Linked DNA regions of Ovis aries. The protein of the gene in region 1 purifies or fractionates together with the protein of each later gene. This does not show direct contact. Links are inferred from orthologs where the notes say so. Each region holds a gene or a part of one and is shown in the gene's direction. Other genes may lie near its edges. The genes, in order: CXXC1, WDR82, SETD1A, SETD1B, BOD1L1 and BOD1.

Region 1 (3,948 bases):
GTAGAAAAATATGGGAAACTCCTGTAAGTTAATAATTACTGGAGAAAGCAGGTTTGCTTAACCACAAAAGGGAGGCGTTTCTCCCTATCGGAAAGTGGGCATTCTTTAATCACAGTGGTTAGCACAAATGTACAACGTGTACTTGCTGCTACTGCTAAGTCGCTTCAGTCGTGTCCGACTCTGTGCGACCCCATGGACGGCAGCCCACCAGGCTCCCCGGTCCCTGGGATTCTCCAGGCAAGAACACTGGAGTGGGTTGCCATTTCCTTCTCCACTGCATGAAAGTGAAAAGTGAAATTGAAGTCGCTCAATCGTGTCCGACCCTCAGCGACCCCATGGACTACAGCCTACCAGGGTCCTCCGCCCATGGCATTTTCCAGGCAAGAGTACTGGAGTGGGGTGCCATTGCCTTCTCCACAGCGTGTACTTGACAGATCATAAATCAGGCTGTTCCAGTTTTACATAACGTTTAGGCCAAATGAGATATAAGCCTGACTGGGCTTCCCCTGCCCCTAATAGGCAAAAATTACCTGTCAGAGGTAATGTGGGACGCATAACGAAGGGGCTGCTTTCCTTCCCAGCATAAGGCACACAGTATACGGACGTCCATTAGTAGACGCGGAAAAACGACTGAAGAGTGGAAAGAGCTACTATCTTAGGAACACTTAGCTACTATTTTAGGAACACTAAAAGAGGATCCCCGTCCCTACAGACATCTAGGCAATACCAGCTACCGGCGCCAGAATCCACCGGCAAGATGGCGGCGCCCTCTCGGTGGCCGATTAGGACGCTGCTACTGAGCGTACGATTCCAAAATGGCGGCGTCAGCATGGAAGTCGCGCAGTAGGCGCGACCATATTGCCTAAACTTAGCGGCCGTACAGGTAGTGACTGTACGGACTAGCCCAGCCAACAAGATGGCGGCGCCTTTGGTAAAGCTGAACTATAGGCGCCGCCCTGTTTCCCGAGAACACTTGAGAGCACACGAGCTCGGCGGCCGTACGGTGTCTGTAGTCAAGATGGAGGCACCTTGGAGACAGTCAGAGCTCTAGCCGGGAGACACCAACTTGCGTGTCGCGGAACCGACGCACTGGGCCTGCGCAGTAGGAGTATGGTGCCTGGGAGGCACCAGGAAAAGCGGAAGTGCTTGTGGGCGCCTTTGCAACGGCCGCGGACGCCGCCGAGTGGTCTGTGCAGGTTCGCGGGTCACTGGCGGGGTTCGCGAACGGGTGCGTCGGGAGCCAAGAGATGGTAAGTGCGCGGTCCCAGGAGGGAGTCGGCGGTTAGAGGTCAGTGAGGTAGGAAATGGTGGAGTCCATTGGCAGGCTCGTGGGGGTCTGTGGTGATCCATAACCAGGGACTGTGGGCAGAATGGGGGAGGGGGAGGGTCTGTTGTGAGCCTTAACCCGGGTCCCTGGGTGGAATGACGGGGGTCTGATGGTCCGAATTTTTGCTCGTGGGGGAACCATCGGGGAGTTCTCTGATGAGCCATCATGGGGGTCTGTAATGGAAGTTTAGCGGGGATCCCTGATGGCAGTGCCTTCAGGGTCCCGATGGGGGATTCTTTGTGCAGAGTGGTGGGGAGGTTTTCGAAGAGTTGTGTTGGGGCAGTCTGGAGGGAGCCGTGATGAGTCCGTATCAGGGAACCAGGGGGGCGGGGCCGCCCGTGAAGTCGATCACTCCAGAACCTGAAGGGCACCGTGGTGGGAAGTCTGCCGAATGAATAAAGTGGTACCTATGAGAGCCTGTGATGGGGGGTCCATGCAGAGCCATGACGGGGGCAAAATGTGGCGAGTGGCGGGGTGTTTGCAGCGAGCCATTATGTGAGTGGGTGCCTAGTGATGGGGTGTCAGTGGGGTAAGTGATTGGAAAGTCTGAGACAGTGAATAAGCCGATAACGGAGGTGTCACGGGTGAGCGATGGGGAGTGGTCTATGGGGACCACGACGGAGAGATTTAATGAGGAGCCATGGTGGGAAGTCTGCACTGGGAGACCTGAGATGTGTGGTGAGCCGTGATGGGGCTGTACTAGTCGGATGAGGTGCCATGATGGGGGGCGGGTCCCACAGGAGGGCGACGCTTCAGATCCAGAGCCTCCAGACGCCGGGGAGGACAGCAAGTCCGAGAACGGGGAGAATGCGCCCATCTACTGCATCTGCCGCAAACCAGACATCAACTGCTTCATGATGTGAGCCCAGGAGAGGCGGGCGGGACGGACACCTGGCTAGGTGGGGTGAGGCCGGTGGGTCCCGCCCCTCACATCTCCTATCACTCGCCCCGTGCTCCACAGCGGGTGTGACAACTGCAATGAATGGTTTCACGGGGACTGCATCCGGATCACTGAGAAGATGGCCAAGGCCATCCGGGAGTGGTACTGTCGTGAGTGCCGAGGTGAGGGGCAGGCAGCTGGGGCTTCGAGGGAGGAAGAGGAGACTTCATGGGAGGGTGGGTCATGGGGAGCAGTGGATGGGCGGCTGTGGGCGGAGTGACTGCGGGTTGGTGCCCTGTGAGCTGTGATAGAAGGGGCAGCTCTGCCCTGGAGTAGGGAGACAGAGCCTGTGGGTGGGCCAGAGGAGGAAGAAAGAGTTCTGGGGCCCCTCCAGGCCCCCCCATAACAACCCCCACTGGCCTTGCCCTCTGCCCCACAGAGAAGGACCCCAAGCTGGAGATCCGATATCGGCATAAGAAGTCGCGGGAGCGAGACAGCTCCGAGCGAGACGGCAGTGAGCCCCGGGATGAGGGTGGAGGGCGCAAGAGGCCTGCCCCGGATCCGGACCTGCAGCGCAGGGCAGGGGCAGGGACAGGGGTTGGGACCATGCTTGCTCGGGGATCTGCTTCGCCCCACAAATCCTCTCCACAGCCCCTGGTGGCCACGCCCAGCCAGGTGAGTGGCAGTGATGGCTGGGATTAGTGAGGGGCTCCCCTGGGAGGCCCTGCTTGGTCCCTGAGTTCTGTTCTGGGCCCCTCCGTCAGCATCACCAGCAGCAGCAGCAGCAGCAGCAGCAGCAACAGCAGCAGCAGCAGGTCAAACGATCAGCCCGCATGTGTGGCGAGTGCGAGGCCTGCCGGCGCACGGAGGACTGTGGTCACTGTGACTTCTGCCGAGACATGAAGAAGTTTGGGGGCCCCAACAAGATCCGGCAGAAGTGCCGGCTGCGTCAGTGCCAGCTTCGGGCCCGGGTGAGCATGGGCAGAGCTGGGCGAGGTCAGGTGGGGGTCCAGCTGTCCAGGAAGAGCCGCCGGAAGCTAGGCGGGGTGGGATCTAACCGCATTCAGACAGGTGGCGAGCGGCCTGTCCTGTCGAAATGAGCGGGGTGTGACCAGATGTGCCGGGCTGGCAGGGGAACCTCCAGCTCCAGGTGGACAGGGTAGGGCCAGGCATTTCTAGGTGGTCGGGCCTGGCTGGGACAGGGCTGAATGTGTCCTGCTGATGAGCTGTGGGCAGGCTGGTGTGTCTGGGGAGGTGAGGCAAGGCTGGTGGGTGGGGTCAGGCACTTGGCAGGGCGAGGGCAGGGCCCCCCTCCCTCCACCTGGGGCTGACCTGGGCCTTCCTCCTGCCGGCACAGGAATCGTACAAGTACTTCCCTTCCTCGGTGAGTCCAGCCCCCCAGGGCGGGCGGGGCATGCGGGCCGGGCGGTCAGGGCCAGTCCTGAGATTCTGCCCCGCAGCTCTCGCCGGTGACGCCCTCAGAGTCCCTGCCAAGGCCTCGCCGGCCCCTGCCCACCCAGCCGCAGCCACAGCCGTCGCAGAAGCTGGGGCGCCTCCGAGAGGATGAGGGGGCAGTGGTATCTGCGGCAGTCAAGGAGCCACCGGAGGCTACGGCAACACCCGAGCCACTCTCGGATGAGGACCTCCCACTGGACTCTGAACTGTACCAGGACTTCTGTGCAGGGGCCTTCGATGACCACAGCCTGGTGAGCAGGCAGAGCGTCCCATGGTGGAAGGGTCA
Region 2 (4,282 bases), on another chromosome or scaffold:
TTCAGTCTCCCAGTTGTGTCCGACTCTTTGCGACCCCATGAATTGTAGCATGCCAGGCCTCCCTGTCCATCACCAACTCCCGGAGTTCACTCAAACTCTTATCCATCGAGTCGGTGACGCCATCCAGCCATCTCATCCTCTGTCGTCCCCTTCTCCTCCTGCCCCCAATCCCTCCCAGCATCAGAGTTTTTTCCAATGAGTCAACTCTTTGCATGAGGTGGCCAAAGTACTGGAGTTTCAGCTTTAGCATCATTCCTTCCAAAGAACACCCAGGACTGATCTCCTTCAGAATGGACTGGTTGGATCTCCTTGCAGTCCAAGGGACTCTCAAGAGTCTTCTCTAACACCACAGTTCAAAAGCATCAATTCTTCGGCGCTCAGCTTTCTTCACAGTCCAACTTTCATATCCATACATGACCACTGGAAAAACCATAGCCTTGACTAGACGGACCTTTGTTGGCAAAGTAATGTCTCTGCTTTTGAATATGCTATCTAGGTTGGTCATAACTTTCCTTCCAAGGAGTTGGCCTCAATAGCTATGGTTCCCAGGCTCTAGAGCATAGGCCACTCTGCAGCATGTGACATCCTCCCAAACTAGGGATCGAACCTGTGTCTCCTGCACTAGTAGACAGATTCTTTACTACTGAGCCACCAGGGAAGCCCTACAACGCTTTCAAAGAAGGCTTAAAGAAAAGTTGTGGGTGGTAGTCACAAGAAGGTACAACCAAATGAAAAGAAAATTCATCCACTTAAAATTTATGCAATCTAATGTAGGCTGCTGCTAAGTCACTTCAGTCGTGTCTGACTCTGTGCGACCTCATAGACGGCAGCCCACCAGGCTCCCCCGTCCCTGGGATTCTCCAGGCAGAACACTGGAGTGGGTTGCCATTTCCTTCTTCAGTGCATGAAAGTGAAAACTCAAAGGGAAGTCGCTCAGTCGTGTCCGACCCTTGGCATGGACTGCAGCCTACCAGGTTCCTCCATCCATGGGATTTTCCAGGCAAGAGTACTGGAGCGGGGTGCCACTGCCTTCTCCATCTAACGTATAGTACACCTTAATAAAAAAAATACAGAAATTGAAATCTGGCTCTGTCTGTTGCGGACCAACGGTCAAAAGCCACCAGCGTTGACTCACACCCAGAACAGGCCTCCTGGGGCGTAGCCCACCTCCGCAGTACCTGCTGTCCCTGGGCCTGCGGCCGGGGTTCCTGCAGGGGGCGCCTGAGTCTCTTAGCGGTGGCGAGCCCGCACACAGGCCTGAGGCTCCGGGTCACGCGGGGCCTTGGAATCCAAGGGGTAAGGACGTGGGAGTCCCTTCCCCTCCCGCCCCCGCAGCAGGTCTGGGAATTGCCTCTTGGGGCCACCCAGCCACGCCACTCCCTGCCGGCAGCGCTGACGTCACCGCCCCGCCTCCTCGCCTCGCGCCGCCGTTACCGCCCCGCCCCTTTTCCCGGCTGGCTCCGCGGTGAGGTTCCTCGCCCTGGGCTTCTGCCTGTCGTCCCAAGATGGCGGACACAATGAGCCGGCGTCGCGCCGGTTGGCCCTGAGGCGACCGTGAGGCTGAACGGTCGGCAAGGCCCCACAGTCCGGGCAGAAGAGTGTTGCTTAAGCAGGAGGAGAAAGAGGAGGAGGCGTCCCGACTGCCGGCCGCTCTCCCGCCCGCCGCCGGCGCGGCGCCCGCCCCGCCCCGGTCGGCCCCTCGGCAGCCCGCCCGTTCCCCGGGCCCCGCCCTGGCCCTGCGCCGCCGCCGCCGCCGCCTCAGGCAGCCGCCGCCATGAAGCTGACCGACAGCGTGCTGCGAAGCTTCCGCGTCGCCAAGGTGTTCCGCGAAAACTCTGACAAGATCAACTGCTTCGACTTCAGCCCCAACGGCGAGACGGTCATCTCCAGCAGCGACGACGACTCCATCGTGCTCTATGACTGCCAGGAGGGCAAGTGAGTGCGGCGGTGGCCTTGGGCCCGGGTCTGAGTCCCGCCCGCCCTCCGCGTCGTGGCCCTGCGCTCGCCCCGCGGCCCGCTCTCTGCCCGGGCCCGGCCCCGCGGCCTGTTTTGCACACGGTCCTGCCAGGGCCGCGTCCCCTCCGAAGCCGTCTGGGAGACCGTTTTTTTCTTAATAACGATGGCGATAACAATAGTCTTGTCTTCCTTCGGTCTCCTTTTAGACCGTTTTTGCATCTCTGGCCAAACCCCACCTTGACCTTGACCTTTAAACGCCGGGTCCGCCCACCGCGGCCCCAGCTGGTAGCTTTTCCGTTAGGCGGGCTTCGTCCTCGGTGCCCGTCGGCTGTGGCCCCCTTGCAGAACCGCGGAGGCTGCTCGGCTGCCTCATTCAGCAGAGGCAGCTCCCTCTGCCCTCTGCTCGGTGACCTCGATTCAGTCCTGGCCCATCGCCGGTCCCCTGCCCCTCAGCTTCCCGCCGTGTTTTTGCCGGAAGGCCGCGTGGGTTGCAGTTGTTACCTGTCAGGATTGATTTGTTGTGCCTCTTTGGGCCCCTTGTCTTTTCCTTTCTGTTGCAAATCATTCTCTTCCTCCCTCAGTCCCGGTTCCTACGTTTATAGTTAACTTTTTAACAGCATCTGAAACTTTTCCTTTTTGCCAGACACGGACGAACCTGGCCGTCCCATCCCGACCTGAATGTGAACCTCCTAATAGAACAAAGAAAATATCATGTAACAATTTCGTGTTTCTTCTTAGGCTTGTTTTTTAAAATTACACCTTACAGTCGATTAGGACTTAACCACAGTTCTAAGTCTGATCATGACATTTCTAGGTTGTCCCAAGTCCTCTGGAGACCCAACACATCTGTATCTCTGCAGAATCTTAAAAGCACAGCATTTTGCCAGTTCCCCCCTTTTATCCCTTTTTCCTCAGCTCTGCCCCAGACTTGCTTTCTTCATGTCCCTGCTAAATTGTGAGCTCCTTTTTGAATCCTTGGATTTTTCTTTACCTTCTCCAGCTGTTCCTTTTGTCCGTTTTGTTTAAACTGATGTCTTCTATAAACTTTCTTTCAGAACTTGTCTCTTCATTTCTGAATTTGGTCATTTGAGGTAATGGTCTGAACTCTATTGTTCTCCCCAATTTTTTCCTGTTTGGACTGTGAAAAAGTATTATGTAACTGGCTTTGGATCTGCCTGCAGTATGTGGAAGAGTGGCCTATAGTGGTGGTCCTGGGGGAAGAGAATTGTTAGCTGGACCAATGCTGAGTGGTGATGTGAGTCAATGTTATTCATTTCTGTCCAAGTCTGGCCACTTGCATTAACGTGGATTAGAGTCATGTATAAAGCTAGGGTGGAGATAGAGGTTGTGGGGTCCTGGAGCTGGAAGAAATTTTTAAGCTGATTTGCTTGAAATGCTTAGTGCTTGTGCACAGATTAGAACCTCTTCCTGGAACTTGAGGATGGAGGTGTGTATCTTCATTCAAAGAAAATGAAAATCATGGAAGCATTTCTTCAAAGTTTGTCTCCAAATATGGCATAATTTCCACCCCTTAGTAGAAATGACATTAACTGGAAGTCCTTCTTGTTATAAGTAAAATATTAATTTTATGACATAATTCAGTTCATTCATTCATGTAGCATTTTTACATAATTACAAACTTGGCAGAAAAGTTACACCATTGTTTACAAGAACTCCCAGGATCCAATAATTAGTTATGTTTTGCTCTGTTTTGTCATTTCTATGTAAATGTTTATATTTACATATGTATATGTATATATATGTGTGTGTGTGTATGTATATACAGGTGTGTGTGTGTATATATATATATATATGCATTTTTTTCCCTGAACCATTAGATAGTAATATAGAGGTATCAAGCCCCTTTATCCTAAACACTTCAACATGGATATCCTAAGCACAAGGACTTTTTCTTATGTAACCAGATTACAGTTATCCAAATTAGAGATGTAATATTGACACAGTAGTATATAGCACATTCTTTAAAAGATTCTCATGTGAATTGTGACCTTGTTTCACCGTGATCTGTGATAAGAGAGTGATCTGATAGACTGGGTTCTAGTTTGGCTTTGTGACTCGGTATGTGACATTGGTCAGATCTCTTCTCTAGCCTCAAGGAGTCCATGATCCTAAGTGATAACATGAAGAAAAAAATTTGCCACTAGTGTAGGTCAAACCAACATTGGAAGAAAAGTAAGATTTCCTTGGAAAGCAGTATCTGTATTAGATGGTACTAATGTTGGGAGTTTGAAAATAGCTAAAACAAAATTCTTTGTGCTTAATATTTTCTCTGTTTACTGTTCATTGACACTTTCTTTATAATGGA
Region 3 (4,175 bases), on another chromosome or scaffold:
GATATGAATTTGAGCAAACTCCAGGAGATAGTGAAGGAGAGGGAAGCATGGCATGCTGGAGTCCATGGGGTTGCAGAGTTGGACAAGACTTAGCAACTGAACAACATTAAGTTTCTTTTAGTGTAAGTTTCTTTCTTGAGTAACTACTACATACTAGGGGCTTCTCATAGGTCACCTTATTTAGCTTATTTAACTGATTTAACAATCACCTCAAGAGACAAGTCTTTATGACTACTATTTCAGAGATAAGGAAGCCTCAACCTAAGAAGGTTGAGGATCTTTCCGAAAGCCACACACCCAGTCAGGGAAAACTTGAACCACCTTTACTATCACAAGGGGAATCTTTCGCTTGAGAAAAGGAGTATCTTTCAACTAGGACCAGAGAAAGAATCTGATTTCATTATCCCTGTTTCCATTGTAAATTTATTTCTTCAGCCTCATTTTCCTTAAATTTGTTAAGGGTCCTAAGCCTCTCCCAGAAGGGTTCTTTTGGTGTTGAGATTTTGGACAAATCGCTTTTCCTGTTCCTTAAAAGTGTGAATTTACATGAACCAGGCCTCAGGGGCCTTTCCTGCAGTTTTAATGCCTACAATAGTTCTGCATAACAGTAATTAACATCTATTTTCCGAGGAAGAATCTAAAGCTTTTTGAAGTTAGTGACTTGCCCAAGGTCATACATCAAAAAGTCTGGAACTTAGGGCATCCCCTCAGCTCTGACAGTGCCTGGCAGTGCCATTACCCTGAGACCAAGATACCTGCGTCTAAGCTTACTAAGAAAAAGGGTGCTGAGCATCAGGGCGACCTCAGCCCAAGTCTCAGGTTTAAGCCTGGGCTGGTGCTGCCCTCGAGCGGCGGGACTGAGTAAGGCAGGCGGGGCAGAGGGTTGCACAAAACGGCACAAAACGGTTACTGAAAACGGCGGGCACTGGGACCATGATAATCTGGGAAATCGACCAGCCCACCCTAGTTCACGTACTACCTAATTTATCGTTTTTTACAGGACCGGTTCAAGATCCTTTAGGACCCACCCTTATCGCATAACTTTGATACAGACTAAGATTTAATCACTAATGGCGGGTCAGTACAGGCAAAGTGGGGCACCCTCTGAGGGCCTCAGTGTCCCCCATCTGTCAAATGGGCATCTTAAAAAACTGCCCAAAGAGGATAATGGGAGGAAAACTTTCCTTGCATTACGTGAGGCGCCAAACAGCCTGAGTCACCGTTGTTGGTGGTATTTTTCCATCTCCTGGGCGCCCCTCCCAGCCCGCCCGGGTTTCCGAGGGTCCTACAGGAAGCGCCCCGAAGACGCCGGGCTCCGCACGCTGACCACGCCCTCTGTGCGCGGAGCCTTGGCTCCACCCACTAAATAATTCGCAGATTCGCTAGGCCGGCTCCTCCTCCGAATTTCTCGGGCCCCTCCATACTCGGCTGAAAATTCTCATCGGACTCCGTAACCATTTCCCCCAGGTCGGAACTGAGCAGTCCTCTGAGTTGTGCTAGTAAGAAAGATCCAGGAAAAGTGGCCGACTCTGCCAACAGGGCTTGGCTAACCAGGCATTATTTTCTTGACTCCACCAAGCCTGGTGAAGGGAGGCAACAGCTGAGGCCAAGACTCGTGGCGAATCTGCAGCCTTTCAGACCTTTGATCGCTTAAGGAAGGGGCAGGAAAGAGGAGAAAAGGAGCGCGCATCTCGTCTACCGATTCGCCCCGCCCGCCTGACGAATCTGCGCCTGTTCAACGCGCCACTCAAATCTCCCCAGCTCTGGCTGGCCTCCTCCCCTTCGCTCCGCCCCCTTTTCCTCTGGGATTAGTCGCTGCTTTCAACGCCGCCGATTCGTCAAGGGTCCCAGGCCAGAGCAGCTGGATAGTCGCGGTGAAGTCCATTCTCCGGGGGATGCGGCCAAACTCCAGGCTCAATGGGCCGCAACTCTTGAGCTTCATAGGCCGCCGACCGAGGCGAAGCCGCTATCCTCGGCCCCGTGGGTCTCCCGGAGTCGCCCGTGGCGAAAGTGCGAATATAGAAGCTGTGCCCGCTGGGCCTCGCGCAGGTGGCGGTGGTGTTTGGTGCGCGCGCCGGGGAGGTGGTGGTGGGGGGGCGCCGCCGCCGCCACCGCTGCGGGGCCGGGTCTCGCGCTGTCGCCGCCGCCGCCGCCGCCGCCTCGCGCCGCTGAGGTGCCGCGCGGGGTGGGGGGAGGGGGAGCCGCTCGCCGCGAGCGGGTGAGTGGGGCCGCGCCGCGCGTGCGCGGAGATGGGGGGGCAGAACGCGCCGGGGCGGGAGGAGAGGGCAGCGGCGCGCGTTTCCCCCACCCCCCGCCCGGATTCAGGGCCGAAGCCGGGTCTCGGGCTCGGTCTCGCGGTGTTTCCAACGCCCCGAAGAGGTGCCACTTCTTGGCCAGAGGATCGGGGCGCGGGGACGGGAGCGGTGTGTGGGAGCGGGAGCCGGGCTTGGCCTGGGCCGCTGGCCGGTGAGGAGGCGGGAGGGGGCGGGGCCTGCCAGGGGGCGGGGGAGGGGTCTTGCGCCGAGGCCAAGTGGGGCGCGCGCTAGGGAGAACGGGAAGGTAAGGGGGCGCGAGATGGGCCTGGGGGCCAGAGGGGAGAGTTGGGAGGTGGAGAGAGGATGGGGTGTTATGGTGAAAGAAGGTACTTGGGAGAAAATCTGGGGGAGTCTCGGGTCATGGTGAGTGAGGTATGGAAACTGAGGTGATGAGAGTTACCTGGAGTCGGGGCTAGTCAGTGAGGGGCAGCAAGGGAGTTGGGCCTAAGTCGTGAACCCCTTTGCTCATCCCTCTTTCCTCGCAGTGTAAATGAGCAAAGATGGATCAGGAAGGTGGGGGAGATGGGCAGAAGGCCCCGAGCTTCCAGTGGCGGAACTACAAGCTCATCGTGGATCCTGCCTTGGACCCTGCCCTACGCAGGCCTTCTCAAAAGGTGTACAGATACGATGGAATCCACTTTAGTGTCAACGTGAGTGTCCCAGGCCTTCCCCAGATCTAGGGAACTCAAACCTGATCTCCTCTGTTACCTCTGCTCATAACCTAGAACCTGCCTTCTTTAAAGTGGGCAGCCAGAACCCAGCTCTTCTGCTCGTGGATCTCCAGAGGGGCTCTAGAGATCAACACTGTGGTTTCACCTTGAGCTGTCTCTCTGTTCCTGATTATTTTCCTAGGACTCAAAGTATATACCAGTGGAAGACCTCCAAGACCCCCGTTGCCACGTCAGGTCCAAAAACAGAGACTTTTCCCTCCCAGTCCCTAAGTTTAAGGTACGTTTCTGCTAGTCTCCTGGTGTGGTGGCCCTTGGAGGGTGTGGAGGCTCCATCCTGGTAGTCTAGTCTTAATGTAGCATAGGGAAAGGGGGTTTTCCTAGTGAAAGAGTCTAAAACAGATCTAATAATCTCTGAGGCTGAGACTGAGTTGTTGTGGACAGGAGGTGTGTTTATTTTCTGGAGAGGTATATGTTAGGTGTTTCAAAAAGGGTGTTAACTTTTTGAAGGGTGAAGACAGGTCCATCTGCTACACCTATCACTGTGTACTTCTAGACTGTGCATAGCAAAATAGTACCCTGTGTGCTACCCCAATTTCTCAGTTAAGGGGAGTGACAGTGCCAGGGACTTCATCCCTGGAGTCCTCTATTCCTCTCTCTTACTCTGTGATTTTTCCTCAGAGGATTCCCATGTCTCTGTCCAGGCGGGATACTCATCAGTCCTTGGAACACTGGGTCTAGAAAACTGGTGGTTCTTAATCTCCTTTGTGAACTCTATTCTTCCTTTTTAATAAGTCACTTGTGGGGTTCCCGCTTCCCTCTTTCACATTGTATACTTTTCCTGGACAATGTCTTTCCCATCCACAACTTTGACTATTACTGAAGTGTTGATGGCGTCCAGATCTCTTGAAACTCCAGACTTATTTGCCTGGTGGAGGGACAGCTCCATCTGGAGGCCCCACAGAAATCTCAACCTCAGGAGATGTAAAACAATTATCTTCACCCCCTTTGTCCTGCTTTTCTTTCCATTTTCCTTTTGCTGATGAATGGCAACACCACGTACTCAGCTGCACAAGCTAGAAACCTGGGTGTCATCCTATGATTCTTCTGTCCTTAATCTGTCACCAAGTTGTGCTGACTCTTTTTCTAAACACATCTCTCTTTTTTTTTTACATTAATTTTTCTGTTTCTG
Region 4 (3,948 bases), on another chromosome or scaffold:
GCCATTTAATTCCATTGCAGAAAAATGGCTCCCCTCATCTGTTGGCCTCTCCTTGGTGTCTGATGAAGGATGTTTTGAGATCAGCGTCTAATAACTCAAGCCCTATAGAAGCCGCGCGCTGATTGGCTGCCGCGCCCGGCCGCCCTGCTCCAGCCAATTACCTACCCACGGCCAAATTACAAACCCCGAAAAGAGCCCCAATATGAAATACACTACCACGAAACCCCAGCGAGGCGGCTCCCTCTCCTCGGCCGCCAGACAGGAGAGGCAGAGGGGGCTGCAAACGCGTCCTCGCGAAGCCCGAGAGCCTCGGAGTTGAACTCACAAAATGGAAGCCGCGCGCTGATTGGCCGCCGCCACTCCCGGACCTTTAATAAAGAAAGGGGAAGGAAAGATAAATGCAAAAAAGGGGGAATCGTTCCTCCGCCGGTGGCTGGAGGAAAGGAGGGGGGTGCGGAGGGAGAAGCATGTGTTCACGACAATTACAAGGGCACTCCTCTCCAAAAATAAAAACAGAAAGAAGCTTCTATCACCCAGGTCCAGGCCAGGGCTGCTTCCTCCCAGGAATGTAAATGCTAATTTGGTTAAAATCCTGGTTTCCCCTCCCCAACTCAGCTCCGGGGGGAGGGGGTCGCGGGGCAGAAGAGGAAGCCGTAGCCGAGATACCTCGATTGCAACTCGTCTGGGGGCCGCCTTGCCGCCCCTCACGGCTCCAGGCGTCTAAACACACAATCATACACACACCCCAAAACCAGCCCTTTCCCTTGGGCCCCCACGCGCCCACCTCCGGTCTTGGCAGTTTGGAAACAGTTTTGGAGGCCCGAGGCGCAAGCCGCGGCGGCCGCGGCTCGGAGGGTAGCCCCAGCCGCGGGAGGTAGAGCCCGGGGAGACCCCCCCCTCCCCCGCCGCCAAGCCCCCAACCTAAGTCCCAGCAGAATAAATAAATTAAAAGGCCTTCCCCTGGGGAGGGGGGAGGCAGTGTGGGAGCGCGCGAGTGAGGGGTGGGGGGCCGCTGGGGCCCGGGGCTTTGGCGGCGCAGCTGCCGCCGCCGGGAGAGTGCCTGGGGAAGCGGCGAGGAAGGAGAGGGGAGGAGGAAGAGGAGGAGGAGGAGGAAGAGGAGGAGGGTGAGCGCTCGGGTCGGGCTCCTTAGCGGTGTATTGTGGGATGTGCGGCTACTGGGAGCCGAGCCTCCGCCGCCAGCCGCCTCCCGGGCAGCAGCAGCAGCAGCAGCAGCAGCGGCGGCGGCGGCAGCAGCTCCGGGCCCGGCAGCCGCGGCGGCGGCGGCGCTCCCCCCTCCCGGCCCCCCGTCCGGCCGCTCCGGCCTCGGCTCCCGCGGGGGACACCATGTACTGGCTGGCGGCGCAGGGAGGCCGGCGCCCGGCGGGGATGTAAGCGCGGCTCGGGGAGGGAGAGGCCGCGGCCGGCAGCCGAGCGTCCCGAGCCCCCAGCCCCGGCCCCCGCTCCGGCCGACCGAGCGAGCGGGCGGGCGGCGCCAGGCCTGCCGCGAGCCCCGCGCCCGAGCCGGGCCGAGCGAGCGAGCGAGCTAGCGCCACGCCGGGCGGCCGGGCGGCCGGGCGGGCACCATGGGCCGGAGCCCGCGTCCTCCGGGTGCCCCGGGCCCCGCCAGTCCGCACCAGGGGCCCCCGGGAGCCCCTCGCAGCCGCTCCGAGACGGTGGCCGAGCGGGCGGGCGCCTAATTCTCCGGAAGGGTTATTCTCTCGCTCCATTCTTATTTTTGGGGGGAGCCAGCTCCTTTTAGGGCGCGCTGGTAAGGTGGGAGGGGGTGGGGGGCTGGACGATGTGATTCTTTAGCGTGTGTGTAGAAGCGGCCGCCGCCGCCGCCGCCGCGGCGGAGACGACAACAACTTGCTCGTTTTCAGGTTGGGTTAACGGCATGGAGAACAGTCACCCCCCCCACCACCACCACCAGCAGCCCCCGCCGCAGCCCGGCCCTTCGGGCGAGAGGAGGAACCACCATTGGAGAAGTTACAAGTTGATGATTGACCCGGCTTTGAAAAAGGGGCATCATAAACTGTACCGCTACGATGGGCAGCATTTCAGCCTTGCGGTGAGTAGCCGGCGCGCCTCCCTGTCGGCCCCCCCGCACCCCGCAAGCCATGCCGAAGAGGGTGGGGGCTGAGTGGTCCGAGCGGCCTGGGGAACCCCCCCTTCCTGACCATCCGGCCAACTGTCAGCCAGGTCCCCAGTCCTGGAGTTTGACAAGTGCCTGGAGAAGGGGGGTTCCTGTCCCTGACCCTGGGGAGTGAGACCAGCCCACCCACTCCGCCCCCCTTTCTTCTCCACAGATGTCCAGCAACCGCCCGGTGGAAATTGTCGAAGATCCCCGGGTGGTCGGCATCTGGACAAAAAACAAGGAGCTGGAGCTGTCGGTCCCCAAATTCAAGGTAGGACCTCCTCCCCTGTATCCCGCGCCCCTCCCCCCCTACTCCCCGAGTTCGAAAATAACGCCAGTCCTGACCAAGCCCAGCCGGATTCTGAGTTCCCGCCGTCCAGGGGCTAGGGAACTTTTGGCGGGGAGGGGGAGGTTGCAGAGAGAGGGGATGTCCCCTCTCGGCTACTGTAAACAGAATAACACTCGGTGAAACTGTAATCAAGGAGCTGATACAGTGTCCTGCCCGCCCAGCTGGGGGCTCCGAGTACCCACCTGGCTCCTGCCAGCCCAGGAGCTCGGCCCTGGGACCCGCCCCCCTTCCCGGCTTTGTGGCTTTAGGGGGACAGCTTCCTAGCCGGAGGGGTCGTCCCTGCCCAGGCAGCAGGGAGAGGAGGCCAGAGTTGGGGGGGGGGGTGTGGGGAAAGAGAAACTGTTTCTTTTTCCCCTTTCCTTTCGAACCCAGAGAACTTCCACGTTCCAAACGATTTAATCCTCCGCTTCCCGGGCCCGCCCGCGTGCTTTTTCCCCCCGCACCCCCCCACCAATTTTTTAAAAAATTTTTTTGCCCTTCATTGTTTTCAAAGAGCGGGCGAGTGGGAAATGTTCTGTTTTCCCTTCGGTTTCAATGTTCTCCAAACTCCCTTCCCCCTCGTCCCCTGCCAGATCGATGAGTTCTATGTGGGCCCGGTGCCTCCGAAGCAGGTGACATTTGCCAAGCTGAATGATAACATCCGTGAAAACTTCCTAAGGGACATGTGCAAGAAGTATGGGGAGGTGGAGGAGGTGGAGATTTTGTACAACCCCAAGACCAAGAAGCACTTGGGCATTGCCAAAGTGGTCTTTGCCACGGTCAGGGGAGCCAAGGAGGCCGTTCAGCACTTGCATAGCACTTCGGTCATGGGTAATATCATCCACGTGGAGCTGGACACCAAAGGTGAGTGGAGGCCCGCTCAGGACAGCCACCGCCGAGGAGCCCCAAGACCTGTCAGTGTGACTGCCTTCTCTCCCAGGGACCGTCTTGCATGTTGGGGAGCCCCTCAGTTTTCCTTGGGTACCCCCCTAAAACCTTATTTTTCTTTTGCCCCCCTCTTGAGGGTAGAGTCACGTGGAGCTAAATGTGTTGTCTGTTGCTAGGAGACGGAACTGTAATTTACCAAATGTGCCGGTCCTTGGCCACTGCACCCCTAGGGACCACCTGGAGGCTTCCCTACTGCTGACACCCCCGTGGGCCCCTCTCGGAGCCCTGGTGGCCTGGGTTTAGGCAGTCCCCAGTGTTGCTGTCTGTTAGGAGAGGAGACAGGGTTTGTTTATGGGGGGGGGGGCGGCGCTGAGGAGAGCCACGAGGCCGCCTTTAAATGTGCAAAGAGTACGTCTCTCCACTAAAAAAGTCCTCCTAAGGGGTTGGGGAGTGCCCCTCCCCCTCTTGCCGCCCCCTCCCCCTGGAAGTGGGAACCAATCTGGGCCCGGAGTGTGGTTTCATTGATAATGTTCCCGATAGAGCTGGGCGGGCTGCTCTGGGTGTTCAAGGGTTGACACTGTGTCTTCCCTCCTCTCTC
Region 5 (3,500 bases), on another chromosome or scaffold:
ACTTTAGAAGATCGGCACGAGCTGCACTGTGGAAAACAGACTTCAGACAGCAAGGGTAGACTAGATGCAGGCCAGTGTACAGCTGTAATCTGGGCAGGAAAAGAGGATGCTCTGGACAGGGGTGATAGCAGTGGAGGGGATGGGAGGTGCTCAGGTTCTGGCTGTATTCTGAGGCTAATGCCGGCGGGATTTGCTGCTGTTTCGGGTGAGGGGTGGAAGAGAAGGAGTCTTGACGATGTGAAGGCTTTTGGCCAGGAGCTTATTGGAAAAGACTCTGATGCTGGGAGGGATTGGGGGCAGGAGGAAAAGGGGATGACAGAGGATGAGACGGCTGGATGGCATCACCGACTCGATGGACGTGAGTTTGAGTGAACTCTGGGAGTTGGTGATGGACAGGGAGGCCTGGCGAGCTGCAGTTCATGGGGTCGCAAAGAGTCGGACACGACTGAGCGACTGAACTGAACTGAACTGGACTGGAAAAAGGAGATAGCTCTCCCCAGAAGAGTAATGGAGCCCAAAATATTATCGCAGTCACTAGGCTTTTTTACCTAAACGAGAACTTAGAAACCAAGAAATTTAACTTTTATAGTTGAAGTTGAAGGTTGTTTTATAAGCAAGTAGAGTGCTAAATACACTGTGACATTTGAGCCTAATGTTTCTGAGGTTTGGGAATATTGGGAAGAATAATTGTGTTTTAGAATCATTGGGGAGAAAATTAGTTTTGTTTATATGAATTTTGGATAAATGGAGAGGAACATGAGAAATGATCATGAGACTAGTTTTGGTCAGATGGAATATTTGTTGTTCAGTCACTTAAGTTGTGTCCAACTCTTTGCGACCCCTTGGATTACAGCTCGCCAGGCTTCCCTGTCCTCCGCTATCTCCCAGAGTTTGCTCAAATTCATGTCCATTGAGTCGGTGATGCTATCTAACCATCTCATCCTCTGCCACCCCCTTCTCCTTTGCCTTTAATTGTTCCCAGCTAAATATAGGTATAGAATAGAGGATAGAATATAAAGGATAGAACATAGGTATTAGCAAAATTCTGGTAATTGGAAGGGGTAAAGGGGTGTCACAGAGGGATAAAATCTTTCTCATCTCCATTACCTAGATGGTTACCCAGTCATCTCATCTGATAACTGTTTTTTACTTGCTTATCTGCCTAGCAGTGTGAAGACAAAGACTAAAAGAGTGAGAGAAGGCTTACACTTCAGTAAGGAGATAAATATGCCCCCCTCCCTAAAATACAGTACAACACAAGAATTACTTGAATGAGCGTGTCGGTGCATGGGCGAAGGGCCGTGGAAGTCTACCTTGGGAGTCAGGACGGCTTTACGGGTTAGGTGAGCCCTGAAGGCAAGGAATTTGCCAGATGGACAGGGAAAAGGAGTGGTAGGTGTACACGATTGAAATCATGGGAACTTGTGACTGAAGAGTAAACTTTGAGGGGTTAGGGAGCAAACAGCAGAATCAGAGTTGTACAGTTTTGCTTAAAATCATTCGGGAATACTCCGACTTATCTACATTAAAAGTCACATAAAAGATGTAAAGAGCACACGTGGTGGGGACAGCTTGTAGGAAGGAAGCGTGCAGTCAGACAGTCCTTCCAGGCAGCATAGAAATGGCCTGTTAGCGTGGGTCCTCTCTCCTGCTTCTTAAGTATCAGTAGTGCTCAGCTTTAGCACAGCTGACATCTTGGGCTGGATAGGCCTTTGTTGGGGGGGACTGTCCTGTGCGTGGTAGGATGCCACTGGCAACTCCCCTCAGCAATGACAATCAGAGATGTCTCCAGGCATTGCCAGCGGTCACCTGGGTAGGGGTGGGGTGGGGGGAGGCAAAATTGCTTCCAGTTAGGAACCAGTGCCTTATATCTAATAACACCTGGTTCCAGCGATTGTCCCTTCTCAGTTTCTCTTGGATCCATGCCTTTCAGCCCATTTTTGCCACTCCAGTACAGATTTTCATTCTTCTAGTTATTGCCTGCTTTCCTGCAAATATCTTGAGTCTATTTACTCTCTCGCCGTAGGAATATCAGGTCAACTATCACATATCATGCTGCTCATATGTGCTGTGGGTTCCCATTCTCTCTCGCATAATTCCAGGCTTCATATATGAGTCCCCAAGTTCTTCTAAACCCTGGTTCCAGGTTATGTTTCCAATCTCATTTGTCTGTTTTTGTTTTCTCTCCTCCAACAAAATTGCATTTGATGGTTTGGGGGCTCCCTAACTCTCCTGACTCCGTGTTTTCTCATCCACCTGCTCTTACATTGCTCGCTGTACCTGTGCAGCCCACCTTTCCTTGTCCCAGCTGTGTTGTGAAACTTTGAAGGTCTAACTGGGGTGCCCTATTCTCAATGAAGGCTCACTTCCTGTCTGCTGTTCTCCATTTCTTCACTCCAAATCATCTAACAGTAACACTTCTTGGTATCTCATCTTCTAGTCTCTTGTCTGTAATTAGCTATATCTGTCTCTGCATTCATCTGTAAACATTTTGTTTTAGATCAGTGGTCTTTGAATGTCTTGTATTATCCTGAAGCAGAAGGATAATACAAGGTCGTCAAACTATGAAACTTTGTTGCCACATTGATGCCGCGAGAAATGTTAACACTGCTAAAGATACTCAGATTCCTGAGACTATGGATATTAGTGTTGATATTGTGTAACAGTGAGGTTTTCAACATTGATATCTTTTTCTTTCTCTCTAGCCTGCCTATCAGAATCTGAGACAGCGTGTTGACAACTTTGTTGCAAACCACTTAGCAACTCATACATGGAGTCCCCACCTCAACAAGAACCAGCTTAGAAACAACATTCGCCAGCAAGTGCTCAAGTAAGTCTCAGAACTGCAGAGTTCCGAGGAAGGCTTGAGAATGTCAGTGTGCCTTGCCTGAAAGCAGAGACATTTGCAGAAGTTTGTTCACCTTGTGATAATTTTGTCAGGTCTTGTGTGGCTGCTTCATACAATGAAACAGTGTAATTTTAGAGTGGACTCTAAATCGCTTCACATTTCCCTCATAAATTTGACAGTCTGATTGTTCCTATAGACCTTTGGAAATAGTGAAGGAGTGACTATGTGACTTCAGAAAAAGCCCTCTAGATCTGATGTGAATGGATGGCAAATGCCAGGTTGGTCAGGGTGTCCTATACAGTTACATTTACAGTTACTTTTTTGGTCCTGAAAGAGTAGGCTTTATTATTCCTGGTTTACAAATAAAGACATTAAAGATGACTGAAATTGAAACATTTTCTCCTGATTTGAGACAGTGTCTTCTATGTTCTAATACAACTGCTTGCTTTTTTTTCTTTTTCTTTTTCCTGGCTGAGTGTGGCTTGTAAGATCTTAGTTACCCTGTCAGCGATTGAACCTGGCTCTAGCAGTGAAAGCGCTGAGTCCTAACCCCTGGACCACCAGGGACTTTCCTGGTTTGTGTTTGTTTTGTTTTTGTTTTTAATTTTCCTGTGATTTTGCCTGTGGGTTTCAGTGATGATATAACCAGAAA
Region 6 (4,116 bases), on another chromosome or scaffold:
CCTGGTGGGCTGCAGTCCATGGGGTCGCTAAGAGTCGGACAGGACTGAGTGAATTCACTTTCACTTTTTTCTTTCATGCATTGGAGAAGGAAATGGCAACCCACTCCAGTATTCTTGCCTGGAGAATCCCAGGGACAGAGGAGCCTAGTGGGCTGCCGTCTATGGGGTCGCACAGAGTTGGACACGACTGAAGCGACTTAGCAGCAGCAGCAGCAGCAGCAGCTCATAAAATGTAGTACACCTTAGATTAAACGTGGCCAAGATTTGGATTTAGGAGACCTGACTTCAGCCCCTCCTCTTCCACCTTTAGCTAGGTGATCAGGGTAACAAACTCTGTGCCTCCATTTTTGGATCTGCAAAATAGTGATAATAACTGCTCTTTAGATTGTGAGGTAGTGTATGTAAAGTACTTGGTATCATGCCTGTAATATTCCAATTACTCAACATTCATTTATTATTATTATAGGCTTCCCAGGTGGCTCAGTAGTCAAGAATCCACCTGCCAAAGCAGGGGACACAGGAAATGAGAGTTCTGTTCCCTGAGTGGCAAAGATCCCCTGGAGAAGGAAATAGCAACCCACTCCAGTACTCTTGCCTGGAAAATTCCATGGAGAGAGGAGTCTGGCAAGCCACAGTCCCTGGGTGTTGCAAAGAGTCAGACCAAGCAAGACAAAAAAAAAAAAAACTATCCGGAAAGAAATACACACACACACACACACACACACACACACACACACAAAATCAGGGAACTTTTTTACAGCAAAATTTTCTGTTATTTTTCAATTTTCTAAAATAAGTATGTATTTCTACTAAAATCAGAAGGGGAAATAAAACCCACAATGTTTGAATAAAAGAAATGTGACTAGTCCACTGCTTACCACATTTCCCAGATGATATTTGTTGCTCAAGGGCGTGGGAATATACATTAAAATCACGGATTCCGAGGCCACGACCTCGAAATACTGAATCAGAAGCTCTAAGGGACAAACCTGTTAATCTATGCATTCAATCAAGCCTAGCAGACGATTCTTATAATCAGGTACTCTGGGAATGAGCAGATTTAGAGCAAGGGGGCAGTACCGGGTGAGGGCGAGGAAGGCCAGCCCACGCTGCAGCAATAACTAGGGCCTACGCCTACAAGTCCCATTCTTTCCCGCAACTGGAGACGCGAGCCCGGAGCCTGCCGGGAGATGTAGTTTCCATCCGCCAGACCTCTGCTTATAAGAGAGCGGGAGCTGCCTGCCGGAAGACCTCCCGCCCCACAATGCAAAGATCGGCGGTGACGTCATCCGTAGAGCGTCCGGGACGCGGCGGGCGGTTTCCGCCGCCTCCGGCAGCAGCTCGGCTACCTGAGAGACTGCTGCGGCCGCTGGGGAGGCCGGCGCCGCGCCTTCCTCCTGCGTCCCCGCCGCCGCCGCCGCCTTCTCCTTTTCAGGCCCCTCCGCCACCTCTCCACGACCTAGGCCCTCTGTTCTTGAGAGGAAGCCTTACTCGGGCCCCTTGGCGGGCCCGGCGCGCAGCCATGGCTGACGGCGGGGGCGGAGGGGGCACCGGCGCGGTGGGCGGCGGCGGCGCGGGCCCGGCCTCGGCGGGGGCGGCGGCGGGCGGCGGCGGGGCCGGCGGGGGCGGCGGCCCCATCAACCCGGCCTCACTGCCCCCGGGCGACCCGCAGCTCATCGCGCTCATCGTGGAGCAACTCAAGAGCCGGGGTCTATTTGACAGCTTCCGCCGGGACTGCCTGGCCGACGTGGACACCAAGGTCAGCGGAGGCGGCTTGGGCTCATGGAGGGCAGGCTGGGCGTGAGGCTGCTAGGGCTGCAGCTTCGCATTTCCAAATACGAGAGAAAAACAAAAGGTGCTTTTCAAATCTCAGCAGCGAGGAGACCGCTTGGGGCAGTATAGGAAGCTTTCTGAGGGATGTCCACGTGGGTTCGGCTCCCCGCCCCATCCTTGCTCTGTGCGGCTTAGCCCAACGGCACTCTAAACTTGGGGACCCAGTACCGGTTTTACAGCCTCGACCCTGTATTTCCCAAGATGAGACTCCTTTAAGCACAACAGTAACAAATCTCAGTATGTTAAGAACACCGGAGAAAACCGGGTAAGTAAGCAGGAATGGTATGAATGCACAAACATCAGCCTTTCTTCCTTTTCTCTAGCTCAGTGATTTGCAGGCTTGAGTATGCAGTTAATTAAGGTACATTTTCGTAGAACCGGCACCCTTATTTTGTATTTCATCACTGGCTGAAAGATTCTGTTAGATCCTAATGCCACAGGTCAACCGGCTAATACTGTTTCACTTGACCTTGCCTAGATTCATTTGTGTTCAGTGAAGTCACTGGTGTTAAGTGTCAAAGAGTAGTCGCTGAAATGTTTTTTTTTTTTTTACTCCTTTTTCAGAAGTTTCTCTCACAAGACTGTGGTTGTAGATATAGGAGGCTCTCTTACTGAATGGGCTCCGCTTGGGAAGTGATTTCTCCTCTCTGAGCCCAACATGGAAATCTTTTGCCTACCTCACAGGAAGATTGTGAGCTTAAAACTAGGCCTTAAAGATAGGTTATCCATTAAACATTTATTGGTGAGGTTTCTGGACACAGGGTCAAGCATGTCACTATCCTGTCCTCAAAGTGTGTATTCTGGTGTAGAAAACTGAAGTGTAGACCAGACAATATGTATAGTAAGTATACTGTTATTCTCCAAGATTAAAAAACGCATGGAGCAGTTCTCTCCTTGGAATGAATTACTTAATTTTTCTTTTTTAACGTATGTATTGACAGAACTTTCACATTTTCCAGTCCTGGGTGCTCTCAGCTTCCCATCGCAAGTTCTCCACTATGTTTTCTTATGTCTCACTAGGTTTTATGTGGCTTAACCCATGCGGTATACATTTGTTTTAGTCGGTATTGAGAATCTGTTGGGGTAGAGGGAATCAGAGCCTTCACCACTTAACACCCCCTTAGATGTTCTTTCTGGTTGTCACCAGGTTGCTTTAGCTCTTGAGGTAGTGTGTCTCCAGGCACATCCTTTGTTGCTTTAGTCCCACCGTTCTCACAGCGTGGTCCTTGGATCATCAGCATCACCTAAGAACTTGTTAGATTTGCATATTGTTAGGCTCCACCCCAGACTGCAGATGTGTGGAACGGAATGTGTACTGCTGATGTTTGTAATTTACTTTGCAATGCATCCAAAATATAAATAAATAGAATAGATTGATAGGTTAAGGGAAAGTGATAGTGTAATAAAGCGTTAGTGACAGGCACTGTAGATCTTTCACTTCATGAACCGAAGGGGTTTTGCTATATTGTCAGGGTCTGTTAAGGTTAGAGTTTGGTTGGTGACGTTAGCTGTCCTTTGTCCTTTTCAGTAACCAGTCCTACCTAAAACTGGGTGAATCATTTTGAATAGTAAAAGAGACAGCGTCAGGATTGATGGTTAGGAGTGACAAATCTAACTCCTGTGAGCAAATCTATTGACTTGTGGGAATCTAAGGAAGGGTAAAATTTAAAAAACTGCCAGAAGGGTAGGGCTGCATTTGGAACCAAGAATTCTCCACCAGGGCTATCTAACCCATGTCACTGCAGAGCAGAGTCATCCATTCGGTTACATCTTACAGCTTCTTCCTCTCAAAATGGCTCCAGTTAAAGGAAAAAAAAAAAATCCCAGAAAACACACGCATCGTCTAAACGTGGTTCAGGAAGCCACCCCTGTGGCCAGGAGAATGTGGCGCCCACTGCCCTATCCTTGTGAGAAAGGGAAGGCAATTACCAGGAAGAAGGACTCGCTAGGTGGATAGTACATGGGGAGCTGTGAATTGTGGTCCTCATCCGCCTCCCTGCCTTTCTCTTTTCGGGTTTGGTGGAGAGTCTTTGTTTGTGAGTCTTGGCCTTTGGGAAGAGCCGGCTCACAGAACTGAGGCCTCTTGATTCCTTTGTCAGTGTCATGCACCTGACTGTTAACAGACTTTTTCTAGAGTAACGCTGTATAGTAAACCAAATCTTCGTGGCTTATAATAAGCATTTGTTTGCATGCTGATGGGACTGCAAGTCAGCTAAAGTTCAGCTGGTCTGGATAGACTTGGTGGCTCAGCTATAGGCAACCTGGGCTTAGGTCCAAGCTGTG

Evidence for each region.
Region 2: the proteins of CXXC1 (region 1) and WDR82 purify together in Homo sapiens (affinity purification with western blotting; 7 studies listed by BioGRID and IntAct, with this or other methods). This does not show direct contact. The link is inferred for Ovis aries from reciprocal best matches to the Homo sapiens genes CXXC1 and WDR82.
Region 3: the proteins of CXXC1 (region 1) and SETD1A purify together in Homo sapiens (affinity purification with western blotting; 16 studies listed by BioGRID and IntAct, counting the BioPlex papers as one, with this or other methods). This does not show direct contact. The link is inferred for Ovis aries from reciprocal best matches to the Homo sapiens genes CXXC1 and SETD1A.
Region 4: the proteins of CXXC1 (region 1) and SETD1B purify together in Homo sapiens (affinity purification with mass spectrometry; 11 studies listed by BioGRID and IntAct, counting the BioPlex papers as one, with this or other methods). This does not show direct contact. The link is inferred for Ovis aries from reciprocal best matches to the Homo sapiens genes CXXC1 and SETD1B.
Region 5: the proteins of CXXC1 (region 1) and BOD1L1 purify together in Homo sapiens (affinity purification with mass spectrometry; 5 studies listed by BioGRID and IntAct, counting the BioPlex papers as one, with this or other methods). This does not show direct contact. The link is inferred for Ovis aries from reciprocal best matches to the Homo sapiens genes CXXC1 and BOD1L1.
Region 6: the proteins of CXXC1 (region 1) and BOD1 purify together in Homo sapiens (affinity purification with mass spectrometry; 4 studies listed by BioGRID and IntAct, counting the BioPlex papers as one, with this or other methods). This does not show direct contact. The link is inferred for Ovis aries from reciprocal best matches to the Homo sapiens genes CXXC1 and BOD1.

The regions. Positions count from the first base shown.
Region 1 is NC_056076.1:50,262,677-50,266,624, reverse strand, and holds the start of CXXC1 (CXXC-type zinc finger protein 1), read left to right. Parts: upstream 1-1,148; 5' UTR 1,149-1,247; coding exon 1,248-1,250; intron 1,251-2,067; coding exon 2,068-2,186; intron 2,187-2,288; coding exon 2,289-2,389; intron 2,390-2,646; coding exon 2,647-2,882; intron 2,883-2,971; coding exon 2,972-3,178; intron 3,179-3,564; coding exon 3,565-3,591; intron 3,592-3,667; coding exon 3,668-3,913; intron 3,914-3,948. UniProt on the Homo sapiens protein: Transcriptional activator that exhibits a unique DNA binding specificity for CpG unmethylated motifs with a preference for CpGG.
Region 2 is NC_056072.1:48,700,823-48,705,104, forward strand, and holds the start of WDR82 (WD repeat-containing protein 82), read left to right. Parts: upstream 1-1,482; 5' UTR 1,483-1,774; coding exon 1,775-1,935; intron 1,936-4,282. UniProt on the Homo sapiens protein: Regulatory component of the SET1/COMPASS complex implicated in the tethering of this complex to transcriptional start sites of active genes.
Region 3 is NC_056077.1:27,608,646-27,612,820, forward strand, and holds the start of SETD1A (histone-lysine N-methyltransferase SETD1A), read left to right. Parts: upstream 1-1,375; 5' UTR 1,376-2,010; exon of another isoform or gene 2,011-2,218; intron 2,219-2,276; exon of another isoform or gene 2,277-2,466; intron 2,467-2,800; 5' UTR 2,801-2,815; coding exon 2,816-2,965; intron 2,966-3,167; coding exon 3,168-3,263; intron 3,264-4,175. UniProt on the Homo sapiens protein: Histone methyltransferase that catalyzes methyl group transfer from S-adenosyl-L-methionine to the epsilon-amino group of 'Lys-4' of histone H3 (H3K4) via a non-processive mechanism.
Region 4 is NC_056070.1:53,527,458-53,531,405, reverse strand, and holds the start of SETD1B (histone-lysine N-methyltransferase SETD1B), read left to right. Parts: upstream 1-1,148; 5' UTR 1,149-1,388; intron 1,389-1,528; exon of another isoform or gene 1,529-1,768; intron 1,769-1,880; 5' UTR 1,881-1,894; coding exon 1,895-2,068; intron 2,069-2,306; coding exon 2,307-2,405; intron 2,406-3,055; coding exon 3,056-3,326; intron 3,327-3,948. UniProt on the Homo sapiens protein: Histone methyltransferase that catalyzes methyl group transfer from S-adenosyl-L-methionine to the epsilon-amino group of 'Lys-4' of histone H3 (H3K4) via a non-processive mechanism.
Region 5 is NC_056059.1:109,481,492-109,484,991, reverse strand, and holds part of BOD1L1 (biorientation of chromosomes in cell division protein 1-like 1), read left to right. Parts: intron 1-2,705; coding exon 2,706-2,830; intron 2,831-3,500. UniProt on the Homo sapiens protein: Component of the fork protection machinery required to protect stalled/damaged replication forks from uncontrolled DNA2-dependent resection.
Region 6 is NC_056069.1:5,498,082-5,502,197, reverse strand, and holds the start of BOD1 (biorientation of chromosomes in cell division protein 1), read left to right. Parts: upstream 1-1,316; 5' UTR 1,317-1,522; coding exon 1,523-1,759; intron 1,760-4,116. UniProt on the Homo sapiens protein: Required for proper chromosome biorientation through the detection or correction of syntelic attachments in mitotic spindles.